Callithrix jacchus: one gene and its partner. The protein of the gene in region 2 interacts with the protein of the main gene of each other region in a pairwise test. Links are inferred from orthologs where the notes say so. Each region holds a gene or a part of one and is shown on either strand. Other genes may lie near its edges.

What was found.
Region 1: the proteins of RBFOX2 (region 2) and RBM42 interact in a two-hybrid assay, tested with the Homo sapiens proteins (2 studies listed by BioGRID and IntAct). The link is inferred for Callithrix jacchus from reciprocal best matches to the Homo sapiens genes RBFOX2 and RBM42.

The regions. Positions count from the first base shown.
Region 1 is NC_133523.1:31,829,428-31,833,706, reverse strand, and holds the start of RBM42 (RNA-binding protein 42), read right to left. Parts: upstream 3,081-4,279; 5' UTR 2,956-3,080; coding exon 2,828-2,955; intron 2,591-2,827; coding exon 2,446-2,590; intron 1-2,445. UniProt on the Homo sapiens protein: Binds (via the RRM domain) to the 3'-untranslated region (UTR) of CDKN1A mRNA.
Region 2 is NC_133502.1:206,672,343-206,676,158, reverse strand, and holds part of RBFOX2 (RNA binding protein fox-1 homolog 2), read left to right. Parts: intron 1-924; coding exon 925-1,149; intron 1,150-3,816. UniProt on the Homo sapiens protein: RNA-binding protein that regulates alternative splicing events by binding to 5'-UGCAUGU-3' elements. Prevents binding of U2AF2 to the 3'-splice site.

The DNA of each region.
Region 1 (4,279 bases), on a different chromosome or scaffold from region 2:
TTTTCCTAAGCCTCCTGAGTAGCTGGGATTACAGGCACACGCCACCACGCCCAGCTAATTTTTGTATTTTTTAGTAGAGTAGGGGGTTTCACCATGTTGGCCAGGCTGATCTCGAACTTCTGACCTCAGGTGATCCACCTGCCTCAGCCTCCCAAAATGTTGAGATTACATGTGTGAGCCATCACGCCCGCTTACCGTCTATTCTTACACATCCAGAGCTACGCTGTTAACCTCAAAGCTGGACCACATTATCTTTCTGCTCAAAATCTTCCAACAGCTCCCAATCTCACAACACAAGCCAGGGTCCTTTTTTTTTTGAGATGGAGTTTTGCTCTTGTTACCCAGGCTGGAGTGCAATGCCGCAATCTTGGCTCACCGCAACCTCCGCCTCCTGGGTTCAGGCAATTCTCCTGCCTCAGCCTCCTGAGTAGCTGGGATTACAGGCACGCGCCACCGTGCCCAGCTAATTTTTTGTATTCTTAGTAGAGACGGAGTTTCACTATGTTGACCAGGATGGTCTCGATCTCTTGACCTCGTGATCCACCTGCCTCGGCCTCCCAAAGTGCTGGGATTACAGGCTTGAGCCACCGAGCCCGGCCGGGTCCTTTTTTTTAAAATTTTTTTTTTTTTGAGACAGAGTCTCACTCTGTCACCAGACTGGAGTGCAGTGGTGTGATCTCGGCTCACTGCAACCTTCGCCTCCCAGGTTCAAGCGGTTTTCCTGCCCTAGCCTCTCTTGCAGCTGGGAATACAAGTAAGTGCCACCATGCCCAGCTAATTTTTGTATTTTTAGTAAAGATGGGATTTCACCATGTTGGCCAGGATTGTCTCGATCTCTTGACCTTGTGATCCACCCGTCTCAGCCTCCCAAAGTGCTGGATTACAGGCGTGAGCCACCACGCCGGCCACCTCAGGACCTTTGCATTGGTAGTTCTCTGCTGGGAGTGCTCTTCCCCCAGACATCTGCATGGTTCCCTCCATGTCTCCTTTGTATCTTTGCTTAAATGTGATTTCCTCAGAAAGGACTTCTGTGTCTGTGCTAAGGAACTTCCATCCTTCTTAACATACTTTTATTTATTTATTTATTTTGAGATTGAGTTTCACTCTGTTGACCAGGCTAGAACACAGTGGTGTGATCTCAGCTCACTGCAACCTCTGCCTCCCAGGTTCAAGCGATCCTTCCGCCTCAGCCTCCCAAGTAGCTGGGATTACAGGCGTGTGCTACCAGGCCTGGCTAATTTTTTTTTTTTTTTCTTTCTTTTTTTTTTTTGAGACGGAGTCTTGCTCTATTGCCAGGCTGGAGTGCAGTGGCATGATCTCAGCTCACTGCAACCTCTTCCTCAAAGGTTCAAGCAATTCTCCTGCCTCAGCTTCCCAAGTAGCTGGACTACAGGTGCGCGCCACCACGTCCAGCTAATTTTTTTTGTTTTCAGTAGAGATGGGGTTTCACCATATTGGCCAGGATGATCTTGATCTCTTGACCTTGTGATCCAACCACCTCAGTCTCCCAAAGTGCTGGGGTTACAGGTGTGAGCCACCCGTCCTGGCCAATTTTTCTATTTTTTTAGTGGAAACCATATTTCACTAGGTAGGCCAGGCTGGTCTCCAACTCCTGACCTCAAGCAATCCGCCCACCTCAGCCTCCCAAAGTGCTGGGATTACAGGCCCCAAAAATACAGTGATTATTTTTGTTTTGTACTTGGCTATAATGCTGAATGCCTAGAATAATGACTGGTGCATAAAAGGCACCTGATAATTATTTGTTGACAGAATGATCAAGTTTCATTTGCTCATTTTCATTTTTTAACTTGAATTTTTTGCAGAGACTAGGTTTTACTCTGTCACCCAGGCTGGGGTGCAGCTGCATGATCATAGCTCACTGCAGTCTTGAACTCCTGGGCTCAAACAATCCTCCTACCTCAGTCTCCCCAGTAGCCCTGACTACAGGCTTGTGCCACGAGGCCTGGCTAATTTTTCTGCCTTTTCTTTTTTTTTTTGGAGAGAGAGGATCTGTGTTGCCCAGGCTGACTCCTGGCCTCCAGCGATCTTCCTGCCTTGGCCTCCCAAAATGCTGGGATTACAGGCGTGTCCAGCCTGTTTTCATCATAATAATTTATCTCTTCTTCTCTACTATTCATATATGGTTGGCTATTGAGCACTTGAAATGTGACTGGGAATAAGGAACTATTAAATATAAATTTTAAATATATCAGAACATTTCCGTTATTGCAGAAAGCTCTACGGGACAGCATGCTCTAGAATATAAGCTCCCAAAGGGCAGAAATGTCTGTCTCAGTCATTACTGTGTTCTCAGTGCCTGACACACAAAATATTTGTCATGCTAATTAGTCAACAAACCAAAACGTCAACAGCTCTCTGTACACAAACACCTACTGTGTTAGAGATATTGTGTTCCCTGACTTATATGCCTTAGCTCAACCGTACCTGCTGGTATGTGTTTGTCGCGATAATTGGGCGGATCACAGGAGCCGCTGGGACCTGCATCGCTTCTACCGTGGGGACCGTGGGCACTGCAGGCACAGCAGTTGGGATTCCGGGTACTGGAGCCCCTAGAACTTCCTGCTCAAACCTGGAGGAATAGAACAGACACCAGAGCTCAGGATCTCGTACCAATTTTGGAACTCTGGGTATACTTCGCGGGGACCGTCACCCCTGCCAACCTCTCCCCTATCCCCACCCCCACAATCCCGAAGGTCCCATTTCCCCACGTTAGAGCGCATCTCTGGCCAATCGAGGCCTGGAGGCTCCGGGATTCGGAGGCTCTGGCTCTGGGACGACTTTTATCTCTCCCTGTCGTGGGCCTTACAGGGCCATCTCCGCCTCCATTTCCTTCAAGCGTTCCTCGCCGCTCTTGCCCGGGATGCCAGTGCCAGGGCCCGGGACCACGGGTCCTCCTGCACCCGGGAGTCCCGGGGCTGGCCCCGCCCCAGCCATCGCTGCCGCCGTCGCTGTCGCCGCTACTACTGTCTCAGCCTAGACGCCGCCGCCGCCGCCGGTTCTGCTGTCTACTCTCCTCCTTCGTCAGGGTGGGCTCACCGAGGATGACGTCCAGCAAAAGCGACGGGCGCTGACACATGACGTCATAAATCCGGGCGCGAGGGCCAATGAGACCTGGCCACACCCTCAGGGGGAATCCAGGCCAATGAGAGTGAGAGAATGACAAACAAACGCAAGAACCTGGGCCTATGAGAGCGCAGTGAAGATAGGCGGTCTCGCCTTCCTGGAGGAACACAGGCTAATGAGAGCAAAGCAAAGTCAGTTGGTCCCGTCCCCAATGTGGAATCTGGACCTTTGAGAACGCAGGAAAGTTCGGAGGCCCCTCCTGTGCCACCGCGAAGCCCGCGCTGGAAGTTTTAAAAGACGCTGAAGTCCGCGTCAACCTCAGGGTTGGGCAAGGCTGGGAGGCCTAGCTGGGGTCTGGGGCTGAGGGCTGGGGGCTCCTACCCTGGGGTAGGTTGACACTCGACCTGTGGTTCCCATGAAGACTAGAGATGCCCGGGAGGAAGCGCCTGACCCGAGCTTCCTGGCGGAGGACATCTGAAGACATTTGAAGATGAGACGAGATATTCAGGGTGGGAGCCAAGGCCCACACTAGTGCAACGCAGAGGGGCACGTGCGTGGGCTTGGTCCCTGTCCTTTCTTGGGACACAGCTGACCCCTCTTTTTTTTTCTTCCCCGTAGCCCTCAAAGTGTTTTATTCTGAATATTTTCAAACATGCACATTAGAGGGACTAGTATAACAAACTCTTAAGTACCTCTCAAACGCTATCAATATTCGACACATCTGGATTTCACCTGATCTATGCTTCTCTTATTTTTTATTTTAATTAATTAATTTTGAGATAAGAGTCTCGCTCTGTTGCCCAGGCTGCAGTGGAGTGGTGCCGTCTCGGTTTATTGCAACATGCACCTTCCAGGTTCAAGCTATACTCTTGCCTCAGCCTCCCGAGCAGCTGGGATTATAGGAGGGTGTCACCACGCCTGGCTCATTTTTGTGTTTTTAGAGGACACGGGGTTTCACCATGTTGGCCAGGCCGGTTTTGAACTTCAGACCTCAGGTGATCCGCCCGCCTCAGCTTCCCAAAGTGCTGGGATTACAGGCATTAGCCACCATGCCCAGCTATTGTATGTATGTATGTATGTATGTATGTATTTTTGTATGTATTTATTTAGAGACGGAGTCTTGCTCTTGTCGCTCAGGCTGCAGTGCAGTGGTGTGATTTCAGCTCACTGCAACCTCCACCTCCTGGGTTCAAGC
Region 2 (3,816 bases):
ATCTAGACTATTGCAGTCCCCCATCCCCAATTCTCTGCCTTTTTTCTTTCATCAGTTTTAGATAAAGCAGTTTTTATTACCAAGTAGAAATGATTCTTGAACAGTGGAGATAGCTGTGTTTTGAAGTTTTTTAACTTTTCAATGGAAGAGAGTTATGAATTTTCGTTTCTAGGTAGATCATTACCATTCTCTTAAGGGTAACACAGTAATTCAGTGTTTCAGAATATTGGATTCCCTTTATTGAATATATTTTTTTGTCATTCTCTTTAATAGTAAAAACAATATATTGCGTAGGTTTTATTACAGAAGTAATACACACTTATTATTGAGGGGCACAAGGAAACTTTTGGGGGTTTTGGATATATGTGTTGACTATCTTGATTGTGATGATTTTATGAGAATATAAGTGCGTATATCAAAACTTACCAAATTGTATAATGTAAACAAATAAGTGCTGTTTATTATTTGACGGTTATATCACAATAAAACTGCTTAATTTTTTTTGCTGATTTGATGACTAAAACTTGGACTTACTTCCTGTTTTTTTGAGACAGTTGCCCAGGCTGGAGTGCAATGGCAGGATCTCAACTCACCACAACCACTGCTACGCCACCCAGGTTCAAGCAGTTCTCCTGCCTCAGCCTCCCGAGTAGCTGGGATTACAGGCATGCGCTACCATGCCCGGTTAATTTTGTATTTTTAGTAGAGATGGGGTTTCTCCCATGTTGGTCAGACTGTTCAAACTCCCGACCTCAAGTGATCCTCCCACCTTGGCCTCCCAAACTACTGGGATTACAGGCGTGAGCCACTGCACCCAGCCTATGCAGTGAGAGAATGTTCGGATAATTCCATTTACTCACTTTAAAACTAGTTAGGTAAGAAGGATTCAGAGTCACTTTTTGTTTTTCTCATTGTTTGTTTTAGGGTAACCAGGAGCCAACAACAACTCCTGACGCGATGGTTCAGCCTTTTACTACCATCCCATTTCCACCACCTCCGCAGAATGGAATTCCCACAGAATATGGGGTGCCACACACTCAAGACTATGCCGGCCAGACCGGTGAGCATGACCTGACACTCTACGGAAGTACGCAAGCCCATGGGGAGCAGAGCAGCAACTCACCCAGCACACAAAATGGATCTCTTACGGTATGTGAACTATGAGGTGAAAAACAGACGGATGCCTGGCAATCATATGGAAATTTTTACCTTAGTTTTACAACTAGAAAACTCTCTACATTAATTCAGCATTTATACCTGTTCTCGTTTACACCTTCTCTCAGCAGCATTGTATACATTATCCTTTCTCCTCCTAGAAATACTTTGTCTTTTGGCTTTTCATGCTGTCCCGGTTTTCCTGCCAAGCACTGGCTCTTCTGCTGCTGCCTCTTTCTCTGTTCAGCTCCTGGAACCCCTTTTCTTCTTATTTTACATCCTTTCTCTACATAATTATACTACCAAGCTTAGTTGCTCAAGAAAAACCTAGGAATAGTCTTTATTTCTTTCATCTTCACATCTAATTGACTAGCAAGTCTTGATAACCGTAACTCTAAAACTACTTCACCTTCTCTACATCTTACTACTCTTCCACCAGATTGTTTGTTTGAATCTTAGTATGGCCCCTACTAAAGTGTTTGACCTTGGACCAGTTATTTAATCTCTCTTTGCCCTTGGCTCACTCTAAAATGAAGATAATAGTACCTACCTGAAGAGGCTGTTAGGAAATTTAAAAGAATTTATCCTCATCACCATTCTAGTCCAAACCTCATCACTTATTTCCGGGATTACTGCTGCCTAACTTGTCTATCCTTCACTGTAGCACTAAGATAGTTTTGGGTTTTTTTTAATGCAAATTTTGCCGATTTCCTACTTAACTATTAATCGTTCGCTAATGCAATTAGAATAAAATTCAAACTCTGTACTTGGTTTATTTACTAGTCTCTAGCCCCAGCTTATCTCTTTGACCTCACCTTTTACTACTAACTTGCTAAAGTAAAGGAAATGTCATAAATTAATAATAGGTGTATATTTCATATCAACATAAGGATAATTGTATTGTCTCTTGCTTTGTCACCCAGGCTGGAGTGCAATGGCATGAACATAGCTCACTGCAACCTCAGTCTCCTGGGCTCAAGTGATTCTCCTGCCTCAGCCTCCCGTGTAGCTGGAACTACAAGCATATACCACCACACCCAGCTCATTTTTTATTGTTTAGAGACAGGGTCTTCTTTTGTTGCTCAGGCTTATTATGGACTCCTGTCATGCAATTCTCCTACCATGGTCTCCACAAGTGCTGCAATTAGAGGCATGAGCCACAACGCCCAGCCTTGTGTGGTATATTTCTAAAGATAGAAATGTTCTATAATCTGCATAGAAAGACCTAGCTCTGTTTATGGTTTTTTCACCATTTTCAGTGATCTTCATATCTTCTATAGGTCCAAGTTGTTATCCAGTGTCATTTGCTTTCAGTCCAAAGGACTTCTTTTAGTATTTTCTTTAGAGTAGACCAGCTGGAAACAAATAGTCCGTTTTTGTTTATATGGGAATGTTGTTTTTTTGTGTGTTCAGTTTTGAATGATAGTTTTGTTAGCTATAGAATTCTTGGTTGACAGTTTCTTCCTCCATACCCCATCCTTTAAATATGTCATCCCCTGGACCACTCGCATGGGAGTCAGCTCATTCTAATGAGAAGTCAGCTGTTAATCCTATTGTTAGTCCTCCTGTAGGTAATGAGTTGTTTTTCTCTTGCTGATTTCAAGATTTTCTGTTTGTCTTTGGCTTTAAGCAGTTTCTCTATGATGTGTCTAGGAGTGGATCTCTTTGTTTTTATCATACTTGGGTTTTCTTGAGATTTTGAAATCTGTATTCATCAAATTTGGGATGTTTTTGACTATACTTCATATATATTTTTTCCTTTCTTCTCTTTTCTTGGTCCTCTCATTACACATAAATTTTTTTTCCCCCAAGACAAAGTCTTGCTCTGTTGTCCAGGCTGGAGTGCAGTGGTACAATCTCGGCTCACTGCAACCTCTGCCTCCCAGGTTCAAGCAATTCTCCTGCCTCAGCTTCTCAAGTAGCTGGGATTACAGGCATGTGCCACCACACTTGGCTCATTTTTATATTTTTAGCAGAGATGGGGTTTCACCATGTTGGCCAGGTTGGTCTCAAACTCCTGATCTCATGATTTGCCTGCCTTGACCTCCCAAAGTGCTGGTATTACAGGTGTGAGCCACTGTGCCTAGCTAACACATAAACTGAAACACTTGGTGTTCTCCCATAGGGTTTTTTGTTTCTTTAAAAAATTCAATCTGAACCTAAACATAATCTGAAGTTCTATTCATTTTTCTTTGATCTTTTTTCCTTCTGTTCTTTAGATTGGATAATTTCAGGTGATCTCTTTTTCAGTTGACTCCTTCTTTGTTCTGCCATTTGAAATCTGCTGCTCAGCCCATCTAGTTATTTTTTTATTTCAGTTATTACATTTTTCAACTCTGGAATTTCCATTTATATTTTTCTACTTAGATTTCTTCTCATATCTTTTTAAATTTTGTTTTTTTTTTGAGATAGGGTCTCACTTTGTCACCTAGGCTGAAGGGCAGTGGTGCAATCTCAGCTCACTGCAGCTTTGACCTCCTGGCACAAGTGATCCTCCCACCTCAGCCTCCTGAGTAGCTGGTACTACAGGCACGTGCAACCATACCAGCTAACTTTTGTATTTTTTGTAGAGACAGGGTCTCACTATGTTACTCAGGCTGGTCTTGAACTCCTGGGCTCAAGCAGTTCTCTTGCCTCAGCCTCCCAAAGTGCTGGGATTAC